3 linked regions of the Lepisosteus oculatus genome follow. The protein of the gene in region 2 purifies or fractionates together with the protein of the main gene of each other region. This does not show direct contact. Links are inferred from orthologs where the notes say so. Each region holds a gene or a part of one and is shown on either strand. Other genes may lie near its edges. The genes, in order: rho guanine nucleotide exchange factor 26, lin7c and dlg1a.

Region 1 (3,746 bases), on a different chromosome or scaffold from region 2:
CTTCTGTTAAATAGATGTATCATTGTTAGTAGTACATGTTACTACTAGTACAGTAGTACAAAACTGAACTGAATGCTGTTTGCACTATTTGAAGATAGCGGAGCATTGTGCCAATTCAAAATATGCGGAGTGTTCATTTACAGTCCAACAGGAACAAAACCAAGAAATCGATGACAGGGCTTGTCAGATATCATATAGTATTAATCATCAGTACACTCAAATTGAAACAGCTTATAACTTATAACATACAATCCTTAAAATCTCATCAGCGCCTATTGGTGTATTCTACCAAAGCGTCAGGTTGCAAGTTTTAAAACGTGAACATCTGTTGAACCAGCTGTGCGTTCCTGAGCTGAACTCCGGCAGGTTTGTAACGCTGCAATTGGCGCTGTTGGGTCTCATTTAACCCGGCCTGTTAAAGGCTGCCATTTTTTCTAAAGCCCATAATACACTCAGGAGTTGGCCTTAATACGTCGTTTTAGGCGAGGAACGCAATAGGTAATGCCCTTATATAACATAAAACCTGGGGAAAACAATTGAATTAAAGAAGTCAGACTGACTCGGGGGTAAATAAAGGGGTCTGTGTGGGAATCAGTGTCTGCGGTAGACAAAAAAAAGTTTTTGTGTGGTTCGTTCGTCAATCACTTCTGAAATGCCATTATTAGCATTTTTATTATTAGGTCTATTTGTTTTGACAACCGCGAGAGCTATGATTCGTTGTTTTTGCTTTGATTATTATTTAAACTTATGTTAAATTGCTTTAATTACCTTTCTCGAGAACTGCCCCCCCTTTTAAAAGCATGTTGTCCGAATTTAAGACGGCCACAGAATTACGCTACGTTACCTCCTGTAGTTGTGACACAAATGTTGCCTCGCATGGTCGCACAGGCGATCAAGTTCTCGTGTCTGATAAGCTTTTTGTGTAGAAATACCTAAAATGGAACAATTAAACCTCTTTATACCATGGCGTATAAGTTCCCAGAAATGATTGCTTTTTTTTTCTTATAAGAAAACCCCCCGAAGAAAACCGCTTTTGTTGTGACGATTTGTGAATTTAAGAGTCTGGAGACTAAAAGAGTCTGCAGGTTTACAGTACTTTCTGTGTGATGTCTAGTACGGCCGTTAGGTGACGCTTGACGCCTAGAACTTGTTCTGAAACACGGACACTTGGAAAACTTCAACTTTTGTTCCACTGTGCTTTAGACTTCGCTGGCGTGACGCTGGGCTGTAACTCTGGACGTAGACGTTATCTGTTGTGATTAGTTCTGGTGTGGGCTGTTTAATTGCACTTCATGTCGTTGAGTTCGCTGGTCTCCGTGTACTGTACACTGCGGTGCTTGAACTTGGTTGGATACCGCGTCTCCTCCTCCTCCTCGTTTTCTTGCGGTCTCATTTTCTCATTGCTCTCCCAGTAGTGCGTAGGGTTCAAGAGGGAGCGAGGAGCAAAGCCGGTGAATCTAGCAGAAAGGGGCTGCTCGTCACCCGGTATTTGTGAAATCGCGCACTGCATCCAGGATTTGCAAAGCTAAATCAGACAAGGTCCGGATCACGCAAAGATCGGAAAGTGGGATTGGACGCGTACAGTAGTTCGGGACAGAGCAGTGAACAAAATGACGCGATTGCGCAGCAAAACAAACAGCAAGGTAAGTACTGTACATGCAGCTGGATTTCTTGTCTTTTTAATGATTAACCTCTACTCCGCTAAGGAACTGCTTTCGCAGTTCTAGAAAATAATTGGAACTTAAGTTATCTCGTTTCCTTTTGCTACCCATCGCGCGTTAAACGTCTGTTTGATCAACACTTTGGTTTTTCTAGCCTTATGTATGTATTTTTTTTCTAGTCGCCTTAGTGCACGATCCGATGTGAAGTTCTGCAAAGATCAGTGATGAAACAGAAAGGGCGGCGCAAGTAGTGTTTAATCATTTTTTTTCCAAAATCATTTCTGCCAGGCGCTGCAGCACGTATCGGAGGAGTTGTAATGTGAGCGCCTTTCCTTATGCGATTCCCTGAGACTCACTGTCCTCTCCCGGGAATAACGCGCCATGGAAGCGGGGAACGAGGTGGACTTATCCAACAATAATATCGCCCCTCTGTGGAAGAGGAGATCTGCAAGCCAGAATGGTTCAAGGGACCACGGCAAAGCCAAGCCCAGGCCTCTGAGCTACCAGATCGACGGGGTCCTGATGACGGATTTCCCAGTGGAGGACCCGTGTTCCTTTACCCTGACGCAGCCGGCAGAAAACATCCCGTCTCCAGGAGGCGCGGTGGTCTTGAAACACGTGCTGAACAGACCCACCCGCAAGGCGCGAGTGGTCAGGAGCATCAGCATCGGCCACCTGTCCAATGGCAAGCTTGCGCTGCCCAAACGCAAGGCGGAGGTGGACAGGCGGGCGGGGAGCTGGGCCCCTGGAGCTGCGGGCGCCGCCGAGAGCGGGGGGGCCCGGCCCGGCTGTCAGGAGAAGAGCCCCTCCTGCCAGAAAACAAAGGCACCCCAGAAGCGGCTGTCCAGCCCCGTGACGCTGACGTCACAGAGGGACCAGATCGTCTTCAGTTCGAGCCCGGGCCCCCCGCCGGTCAGGAAGGACACCGCCGCGCCCAGCGCCAGCCCCAGCCCCAGCGCCAGCCTCGCAGCCCCGTCTTGCTGCCCGCCCGGGTCTCCTGAGAAAGAGGGGGACCGCTCCCCTGTGTCTCCTCCCGGGGAGAGGCAGGTGCTCCACAGGGCGTCCTCCGGAGCTGCCCAGGACTCTCCCACGTCTCCTGCCGTAGTCCTGAGCACCCACAGCCCCGCGGCTCTCAAGATGGGGACGCAGCAGCTTATCCCCAAGGGGCTGGCGTCGGAGGTCAAGCTGGCCAAGGGCCACAGCCACAGCCTGCTGGAGCCCACCAAGCGGGCGCTGCGGGCCCTCAGCCTGGTGGAGATGGGCTCGGGGGCCCTCTTCGGCGTGGGAGACGCGGACGGGGGGGGCGACCCGGACCTCGAGAGCCCCGGCACCCTCAGGCGGGGGCTGAGGTCCACCTCCTACAGGCGTGCAGTGGTCAGCGGCATCGACGCGGACGCCGGGGCCCCCGCCAGTCCGCTGAGGGCCAACCACCTGTCGCAGCCCAACCTGAGAGCCGTGGAGGAAGACAAGGAGAGATTCTCCACGCTGGGAAAGGGAAAAGTAGGTCCACCGTGTTGTTCATGGAATCCCGAGTGGTGTCAGAGGGCTGTTTTAGACCACGTCTTCTTTAAGAAAATAAAGAGAAGCATATTTATCCTTATTAGCATTCGTTGTACATATGAATTTACATATGAGGTTTAAATTTCCTTTGGAACTGGGTGCAAACTGGCACTGGTAGTTGATTTAAAGTTCGAGTACACTTCTGTGACCAAATGATAGTAGGAAAATTGGTCTGTTCGGCTAACTGACAAAATAGCATTTATGCAGTAAGCCCAATGAACCAGTGAAAACCTAAGGATAAAATGAAAAGTTATACTGAAATCCACGACATGCCTTACAATAAACCCATCCTATTGATCTTTTTCCATGTTCCCAAAAGAAGAAGGGGCTGCCAACACAGGGAACTTTCGACAGTGAAGGTAAGCAGAGCCGTCTGATCTTTTCACTGGCATGTGGGATTGGAAGTTCCTGAGCTCAGGTGCTCACTCCTAAGCAGGGAGATCTGGGGCTTTCTGCTAGTTTCCAGTTTCACGCTGTCTTCATCCCTGCCATGACCTGAAGCACAATCTTGAGAACATCTCATTT
Region 2 (3,746 bases):
AGTCATGTAGAGGTGATGTAATTAGTGGAGTACCACAGGGATCTGTAGTAGATCTTCAGAGATCTAGATTCTGGTATAGTAAATAACTAACTAGACGGGTTTGCAGACGACACAAGGCTAGTAGGATTGGTTAGTAGGATAAGTAAACACTGTTGAAACAGCAATGAAAAACTATTTACTCTATTTACTGACAGGCTGAAGGAACTGAGTCTCTTTAGTCTGAAGGGAGTGTCCCACACTGACAGGCTGGAGGAACTGAGTCTCATTATTCTGAAGGGAATGTCCCACACTGACAGGTTAAAGGAACGGAGTCTGATTAGTCTGAAGGGAGTGTCCCACACTGACAGGCTGAAGGAGTTATTTCAGTTCCTAAAAGAAAAGATTACAAAGAGACCTGACAGATGTTTTCAGAACCATCAACGACATTGACATAATCAACTAAATCACTTCTTCGGAATTAACACTGGGACACAAACCAGAAGACAAGCGTGGAAACTATGTGGAAGTATATTTAAAGGCGAAAACAGGAGACACTTCTTTACACAAAGAGTGGTGGGAGTGTGCAACGAGCTACCTCGCCTTGTTATTGAAGCCGAAACATCAGCTGGATGAGATACCTGGACTGACTACAAAGAAAAGGGTTAGATGGGCAGAGTGACCTTCTCGAGTTTGTAAACTTTCAACAACGATGTCTGAGAAGTTTGCTCTCTGCTAGTTCTTTGTCAGCCCCTTCCAGCCTGTAAGGCGTCTGAAACTAAACCTTCCGGGGAGTGCCGTGCCAATACCAGGAAGTCATGTTGCCGTTTGAATGAGGCTGTGTCACATAAACCAAGGCTGTGCCGGGATTGGGCACTCGCTGGAGTACTACTGGCTTGACGGACTTCAGGCACAAAATGGCTGCGATTGGGGAACCTGTCAGGCTGGAGAGAGGTAAAAAAAAACATTACAAACAGCGAAAACAAAAAAAGGGATGTATAGCCCGGGCAACTGTGTTGTTTATTTTTTATTAACATTCTGCGGATACACTTGTTTCCCGCTGTAACATTGTTGCTGCATTTGGTTAGATCAAGCAGGGGGCTTTTGGCTGTCGTTCGAGATAGAAACGTCTGCTGGCCAGTTGCACCCGTGATAATAATGCGAGCGTGTGCTTTAGATTTAAAAAGTGTGTCTGGGGTTAACAGCGGCTTCATGGCAGTACGGTGCGTTCGCATGAACCACAGACACCACGCAGGGAGGCTCGGATCTCTCACAGGGGGCTGAGATCCCAAAATAAACGCATGTAAACACCTTTCGGTGACATGCCATCTGGATGGATCTGTTTTCTGGTTCAGAGCGTTGCTTCTCCCCTCCTTTGAACAAGTTCCGTTGCGTTGTGTGCAAATACAATCGAATTTGACGTCCGGTGTGCCAGACTGTACGCGCCTGTTCCTTTGTGTTGTTGTTGTTGTTGTTGTTTGTAATACAAACGAAACACTGTAGCGCACTGACTGCCTGGAACACCAAAACCGCAGAGCTGTGTGTGTGTGAGAGAGAGAGGTGGTGTTGCAGCCTCCTGTATAGGCAAACCTAGAGCACGCTCGAAACAATGTTTTATTTTAGCTTTGGACGGTTGTAGTAAGTGAAAGTGTCACTTCTGTTTCCCCGTGTAGTCCCCCACTGCTCGACTCTTTGTCGTTGCGCCTGGTCGGAGGGGGATTATCTCGCCGTGTGATGTCGTGTTGTTGTGTTCGCTGCTGGCGCTGAGCTTCAGGGGCCGTGCGAATGCGCTGTATACATTATTGACGTCATTTCGCGTTGCCCCTGTTTTTCTCTTCTGCCCTCGGACTAACGAGCATCATCTGGGGGAGTTTCTTGCTCGTGGCTAACTGTCTTTACTGTATATTGTAGTTCTGCAGCTGCTGATCGACTGGCTTACTTAGTACAGAAGAGTTAGGGGGAGGGTGGCAAAATTTGAGAAATTCGGAACTGTTTAATAATAATAATAATAATAATAATAATAATAATAATTCCTTATACTTATATAGCGCTTTTCTGGACACTCCACTTAAAGCTCTTTACAGGTAATGAGGATCCCCTCCACCCCACCAGTGTGCAGCCCCACCTGGATGATGCTCCAGTCCCCTCACACACACCAGCTCTCAGTGGGGAGGAGAGCAGAGTGTTGAAGCCAGTTCAGAGATGGGGGTTATTAGGAGGCCATGACTGGTAAAGGTCAGGGGGAAATTTGGCTGGGGTGACACCCCTACTCTTTTCAAAAAACACCCTGGGATTTTTAATGACCACAGAGAGTCAGGACCTCGGTTTTACATCTCATCCGACAGATGGCGGCTTTCTACACTACAATGTCCCCGTCACTATACTGGGGCATTAGGACCCACACAGACCGCAGGGTGAGCGCCCCCTACTGGCCCCACTAACACCTCTTCCAGCAGCAACCTCAGCTTTTCCAGGAGGTCATTCATCCAGGTACTGGCCAGGCTCACACCTGCTGAGCGTAACAAACAGACAATGCAGAGGTGCCACATGATGGATATTATTTATATATATAAAACAGATGTCGTTTTAATGTAATTCTAAAGAAAATACTGAAATATAAATTTTGCATATCTGCGCACACCCGGTGTGGAACTGGGACTAGTGAAGAGAGTGTTTGGGAACACCCCCACGAGAGACGGGGTCTGTGACCCGTGGGTGGACTGGGGTTGGACTGTCCGATCTGGAAGGGCCGCACTGAGCCCGTGTGATTGGTGGTTTCGACTCATGTGTGACATAGGAAAGTGGCGGTGTCACAGGTACCTGCTGAGATTGACCTTTGTGAGACTGAAACTGGCATGCAGTTCTCATGCAGTGGTCCCCCGTGAGCCAACATCAGTCTCACCTTCCTTTAAAACTAACTTCTTTCTGAAAGGCTGCTTCCTTTTCAAGTGTGTTTCACGCAGCCTAAACTACTGTGTTGTTTTGGCTCAGTAGCCTCTCCAGTGTGCGCAGTACCCTGCTAGGCGTGCCAACACCCAATATTTCAGTATTTTTTTAGAATTAAAATAAAATAACGTCTGGTTTATATCTCTAAAAAATAATTTGCGTCGTGGGGGACGACACTACATGTCTGTTAGTTTATGCGGAAACCATTTTTCTCAAATTATGCCAACCTCCCCCCCAACTGAGGCGTAAAAACTAACCCAGTCGCCACGGCACAGAAGTACTACAGTGTACAGTAAAAACATTTAGCCTGGGAAAAAAAAAAAGCGTCAACACATCTACTGCCTGCATGCAGAGGCTGGTCCCGTGCAAGTTCCTGTTGCTCCACAGGGACGTTCTGCGCAGACAGAGGCACGTGCTCGTGTGATGCCGTTGTCCTGACCTGTTTCTCCCTTCGGCCTTCGGCTCCTCAGACATCTCCCGGGCCATCGAGCTCCTGGATAAACTGCAGCGGACCGGAGAGGTGCCGCCCCAGAAGCTGCAGGCCCTGCAGAGGGTGCTGCAGAGCGAGTTCTGCAACGCTGTGAGAGAGGTAAGGAGATCGAGGGTCTGGAGCCCCTTAGCCGCTGTGTCAAACTGAGGATGGGCCCATGCTGGCACCCAGGTTTCGGTTGTAGGGAGGGATATCTCCGTCCCAAGCAACTGCCTTGTTGGCTTTGATAAAAAAAACGGTGTGTTTTATTATTCGGTCTCAGAGTGGCAGTGCAGCGTTTGGCAAAAGATTATGTTGTTTGGAAAAATTAAGTAAAGAGGCCACAAACCTGTCA
Region 3 (3,746 bases), on a different chromosome or scaffold from region 2:
AACTTAAAACCTTTTCCTTAACAGTGCTAAGAAAGGAAACTTGAGTTTTAGCGTGCACACTAGGACCCTGGATAGAGAATTAAATTCCTAACTAAATCCTTACATGACTTAAGAAAGCTGGCGAGGGCCAGTCTGAATACAGCTGAATATCTGACACCAATATTTAATTCTGTGAGCGTGGCAAAGGTTCCCTGACTGACCCAAAGAGGTGGATGAAGGCAGAACGGGAGAACACTTGTCCTTGGCCAACAGAGGCGTGACTTCACACAGCCACGAGAAATCTGCCGGGCTCTAGAAACCGCCCTGTTTTTCACTGGCTGTGTGGCAGAGAGGAAAGGAGGGCTCCTGCTGGTTAAGAACCTTGGGCCAGGAGCCCCTTCTGGTTGCTCTGTCCGTCGCTGGGAGCGTGCGTCTCCGAGGCGCGTGCAATTACAGCTGCAGGAAACGGACCGAAAGGAGTGGCGGGAGCATCAGGAAGGAAACTTAACGGCACCGTGTGAAGGCCTGCAGGACTGACTCCATCCTAGAGGAATGCCGGAACGCTGAAATATCCGAGCGGGAATCCACTGGAATCCGCTCCTGGGTTAAAACCACAGAGCCAGGCGCTGGCAGCAAACGGCACCGAGCTGGGGACAGTCACGCACGACAGTCACACAGGCTGTTCCCTACAGGCCTTCTCGGTTTAGTCTGCAGAAGTTTCTTACATTTACGACACAAAGAAAACTAGGGTGCTATGGCCTTAACCCTCAGAGCATCTACTCCAAATGTGTTCTTAAGACTACAAATGCTTAAAGCCATCTTAAGAACTTGACACGTTCTGCTGCTCATCTTGGTTTTTGGCTCCACCACCGATTTTAATTCTACTCCACAACTTGCTAGTTGAAGAAAAGAGAAGTTCCAGTATTCCCGATAGTATTTCTAGGGAACTCGGGGGCGCGATGCAGTGGAGCTGTAGGAGTGATTCACAACCACGTCCCCTCCTGCTGCCTGGGAAGTTACACCTGAGCAACACCTGGCCGCGTTGGAGGACCAGCAACAGGCTGCCCGGGGTGCAGCACACCTGCAGCCTGCAACACGGCGACCTGTCCCATCTTACGCAGGACTCACTGCTTTTAATACTGTACTGCCAGGGCAAAAAAAATAAACAAAATTCCCACGGAGCTGAGCACAGCATTGCAAACAGCAAGCCGTGCAACACCACACAAAATGACACCAAATTTTGGGAATGAACAGAGAGCAGAGGTCCCAGCCTGCAGGATCACAACAGCCCCAAGAGGGAGTCGAGTCAGCAGTCAGCTCCAACCGAAGCCTCTGTTTGCGAATCTACCGGCCGGACTCTCGCATGCAGGCCACCGTCACCGTGTTTCTGGGACCCGGGGCGCAACAGAAAGGGAAGAGGGGAGCTCATTCAGAGGAACAGAGGCGCTGGCACGGCCGTACCTATGAGGGCCTGGAAGAGGTTGCTCTGAAAGATGGTGATGACCCTCTCGATGGAGTGGCGGAGCTGGCGGTCCTCGGTCTGGCTCAGCTTCTCCCGGTACTGCTCCAGCAGCTGCAGCGCTCGCTGTGCATCTGCGCGGACACCACACTTTCCGTTAGCTCGCCGGACAACGTACGCACACAAACACACACACGGGCTGCCCCTCTAACAGGTTAAAAAAAAAAGACAACAGCCCATCGCAGCGATTTCACTTTTTCAGTCCCCCCCAGTTGCTGCCGAAACCCTCTGCAGCCCCCCAGAAGCAACCCGTGCACTCGCCTGCCCAACTCGACCCGCACAGAGATCCTGGAGCAAGTTTCAGTAAAGCAAGTTTTGTGGTGTGTGTGTGTGCGGTTTAGTTTTACATTAACACGGGCTTCTCAGCTTCCACACGCACACTGCTCTGCCCCCATGCAAACTCCATTACTCGAGAGACAGGACGCGGGGGTGTGGGGTACCTACACCCCCAGAGGGATGCGAGGCTCACCTTTCTTCCTGACTGGCATGTTCAGTTCCGGCGCTGCGGAGCGGAGCCCAGCGAAAACCCAGGAATTAAAATCTCCCAAGAAAAGCAATCCTCCGGTGCAGCCGAGCGCCCTTCCCAGGAGCAGAGTTTATCCGGGCTCGCATGAAGCCCCGGTGAGCCCTGCGCACCTCGCGTCTCGGGTTTCTGAAGAGCTCCGCGCCGGACCCGGACACGGACACGGGTGGGGGTCCCCTCGTTCAGCGCCCGGAACGGCAAACTCTGGGCAGCGGGCGAGCTGCAGGGGAGGCACACGGGAGCGTGCAATCCTGGGTCGGGGAGTTTCCTGAAACTTTGGCACCACGCGAAAAGAAGGAGAAGGGGGGGAAATCCAGCCCCCCCTGCGCAGTCGGGTCAGCCAGCCAGGAGCGGAGTTAGGCGGTGCGTACCTCCCCCAGCCCAGCACTCGCGTCCGCGGACACTCGGGGGGTTAACGCTGGGGCGGAGGACCTGCAACTCCCCTCTCCACACCCCGGCCACAAATCACACCCAAGCCCCGCTGTCTGACAGAAGCAAAGTTGAATCCGATCCTTCGCGCCGTCTCCCACTCATCCACCCCCTTCCGCCGGGTTGCTCGGCGTTTTTCTTGGGGAGTACTTGTCTGAACTCGCTCCCCCGCCTCGATCCGGCAAATCCGTTGTCAGCTCCAATACTACTACTACTACTACTTCTTCTTCTTCTTCTCTCTCTCAAACCGAACTTCTCCCCGTCTTGTTCTCTCTCTCTCTTCCTCCCCACCCTCTTTTAGTATCTCTCTCTCTCTCTCCCCCCCTTCTGTGCCCGAAATTCCAAACTTTCCTCCAAAATGGCGGCCGGCGGCTGGAAACACCGTCACGTGACCGCCCTCCCTACCCCCGCCCGGCCAATCAGGAGTGAGAGCCGGCACGGGGCTACCTTGGCACGCGGCGGGGGGGAGTAGGAGGGGAAAGGTGAGACTCGAGAGTTTCTTAAAGGCGCGACGCGAGGATGCCCTGCAGCAGACACCTGTCCGCAGCTGAGCCCCGAACAGATAGACGCGTCAAGAGCACACAGCACAAAGCGCCGCAACCCAGAACGCGGAAAGAGACGTGCACGTTATCTGGGAGGAAAAACAAAATTCCAGATCGCAAGAGCTTTTTTTTCCCCCTTTTCTGTGCGTGCTGCGTGCTTCTGTCACTTCATCTCCGTCTGTTCACCCCGGGATGGAGGCGGAGGAAATGAGTTCCTTCTGTCTCGGCCAACCCAGCCCGCCTTGAGCGCCCTGGAATGAGGGAGGGGGTGAGATTTGCGCGACGCGATCGCGAACCGGGGTTTCTCTTGAGATTAACCTACTTCTTTCGCCCTCCCGACTACAACTCCCCCCCCCCCCCGCCGCACAGAGCAACAAGGTTGTAATCTCCGTGTTTAATGAGTTCGCGGAGAGCAGCTTCCGATAATCTGCAAGGAGGAGGGCGGGCATACGCGCGCCCAGGTGAGGCCGGGCGATCGCAGGCGCCTTCGGGTGGACCTGTGCGAGGAGCGGCCAGGGCTCCGGGGGTGAATTCGGAGTGTATCTCGCTCCTCGTCGTGCGAGATCTCCCAGGTGTGCCCAGGTGTGCTGTCAGCGTGCCGAAGGAACCGGCTGCCGAGACGCTGGTTCACCTGAGTCGGTGCAGCCGGGGAGCCTCAGAGGCGGCCGCGCTTGATGCGTGCACCCCCTCCCGCTCTGGAGACCCCAGCACTGACTTTAGAGTAATTACTTCTGGGGCCCGATGTGACAAGACA

Evidence for each region.
Region 1: the proteins of lin7c (region 2) and rho guanine nucleotide exchange factor 26 purify together in Homo sapiens (affinity purification with mass spectrometry; 3 studies listed by BioGRID and IntAct, counting the BioPlex papers as one, with this or other methods). This does not show direct contact. The link is inferred for Lepisosteus oculatus from reciprocal best matches to the Homo sapiens genes LIN7C and ARHGEF26.
Region 3: the proteins of lin7c (region 2) and dlg1a purify together in Homo sapiens (affinity purification with mass spectrometry; 4 studies listed by BioGRID and IntAct, counting the BioPlex papers as one, with this or other methods). This does not show direct contact. The link is inferred for Lepisosteus oculatus from reciprocal best matches to the Homo sapiens genes LIN7C and DLG1.

The regions. Positions count from the first base shown.
Region 1 is NC_090708.1:3,087,874-3,091,619, forward strand, and holds the start of rho guanine nucleotide exchange factor 26, read left to right. Parts: upstream 1-1,188; 5' UTR 1,189-1,643; intron 1,644-1,949; 5' UTR 1,950-2,042; coding exon 2,043-3,161; intron 3,162-3,540; coding exon 3,541-3,580; intron 3,581-3,746. UniProt on the Homo sapiens protein: Activates RhoG GTPase by promoting the exchange of GDP by GTP. Required for the formation of membrane ruffles during macropinocytosis. Required for the formation of cup-like structures during trans-endothelial migration of leukocytes.
Region 2 is NC_090716.1:3,117,759-3,121,504, reverse strand, and holds the start of lin7c (protein lin-7 homolog C), read left to right. Parts: upstream 1-828; 5' UTR 829-893; coding exon 894-930; intron 931-3,392; coding exon 3,393-3,511; intron 3,512-3,746. UniProt on the Homo sapiens protein: Plays a role in establishing and maintaining the asymmetric distribution of channels and receptors at the plasma membrane of polarized cells.
Region 3 is NC_090708.1:2,036,776-2,040,521, reverse strand, and holds the start of dlg1a (disks large homolog 1), read right to left. Parts: upstream 2,759-3,746; 5' UTR 1,987-2,758; coding exon 1,968-1,986; intron 1,573-1,967; coding exon 1,441-1,572; intron 1-1,440. UniProt on the Homo sapiens protein: Essential multidomain scaffolding protein required for normal development. Recruits channels, receptors and signaling molecules to discrete plasma membrane domains in polarized cells.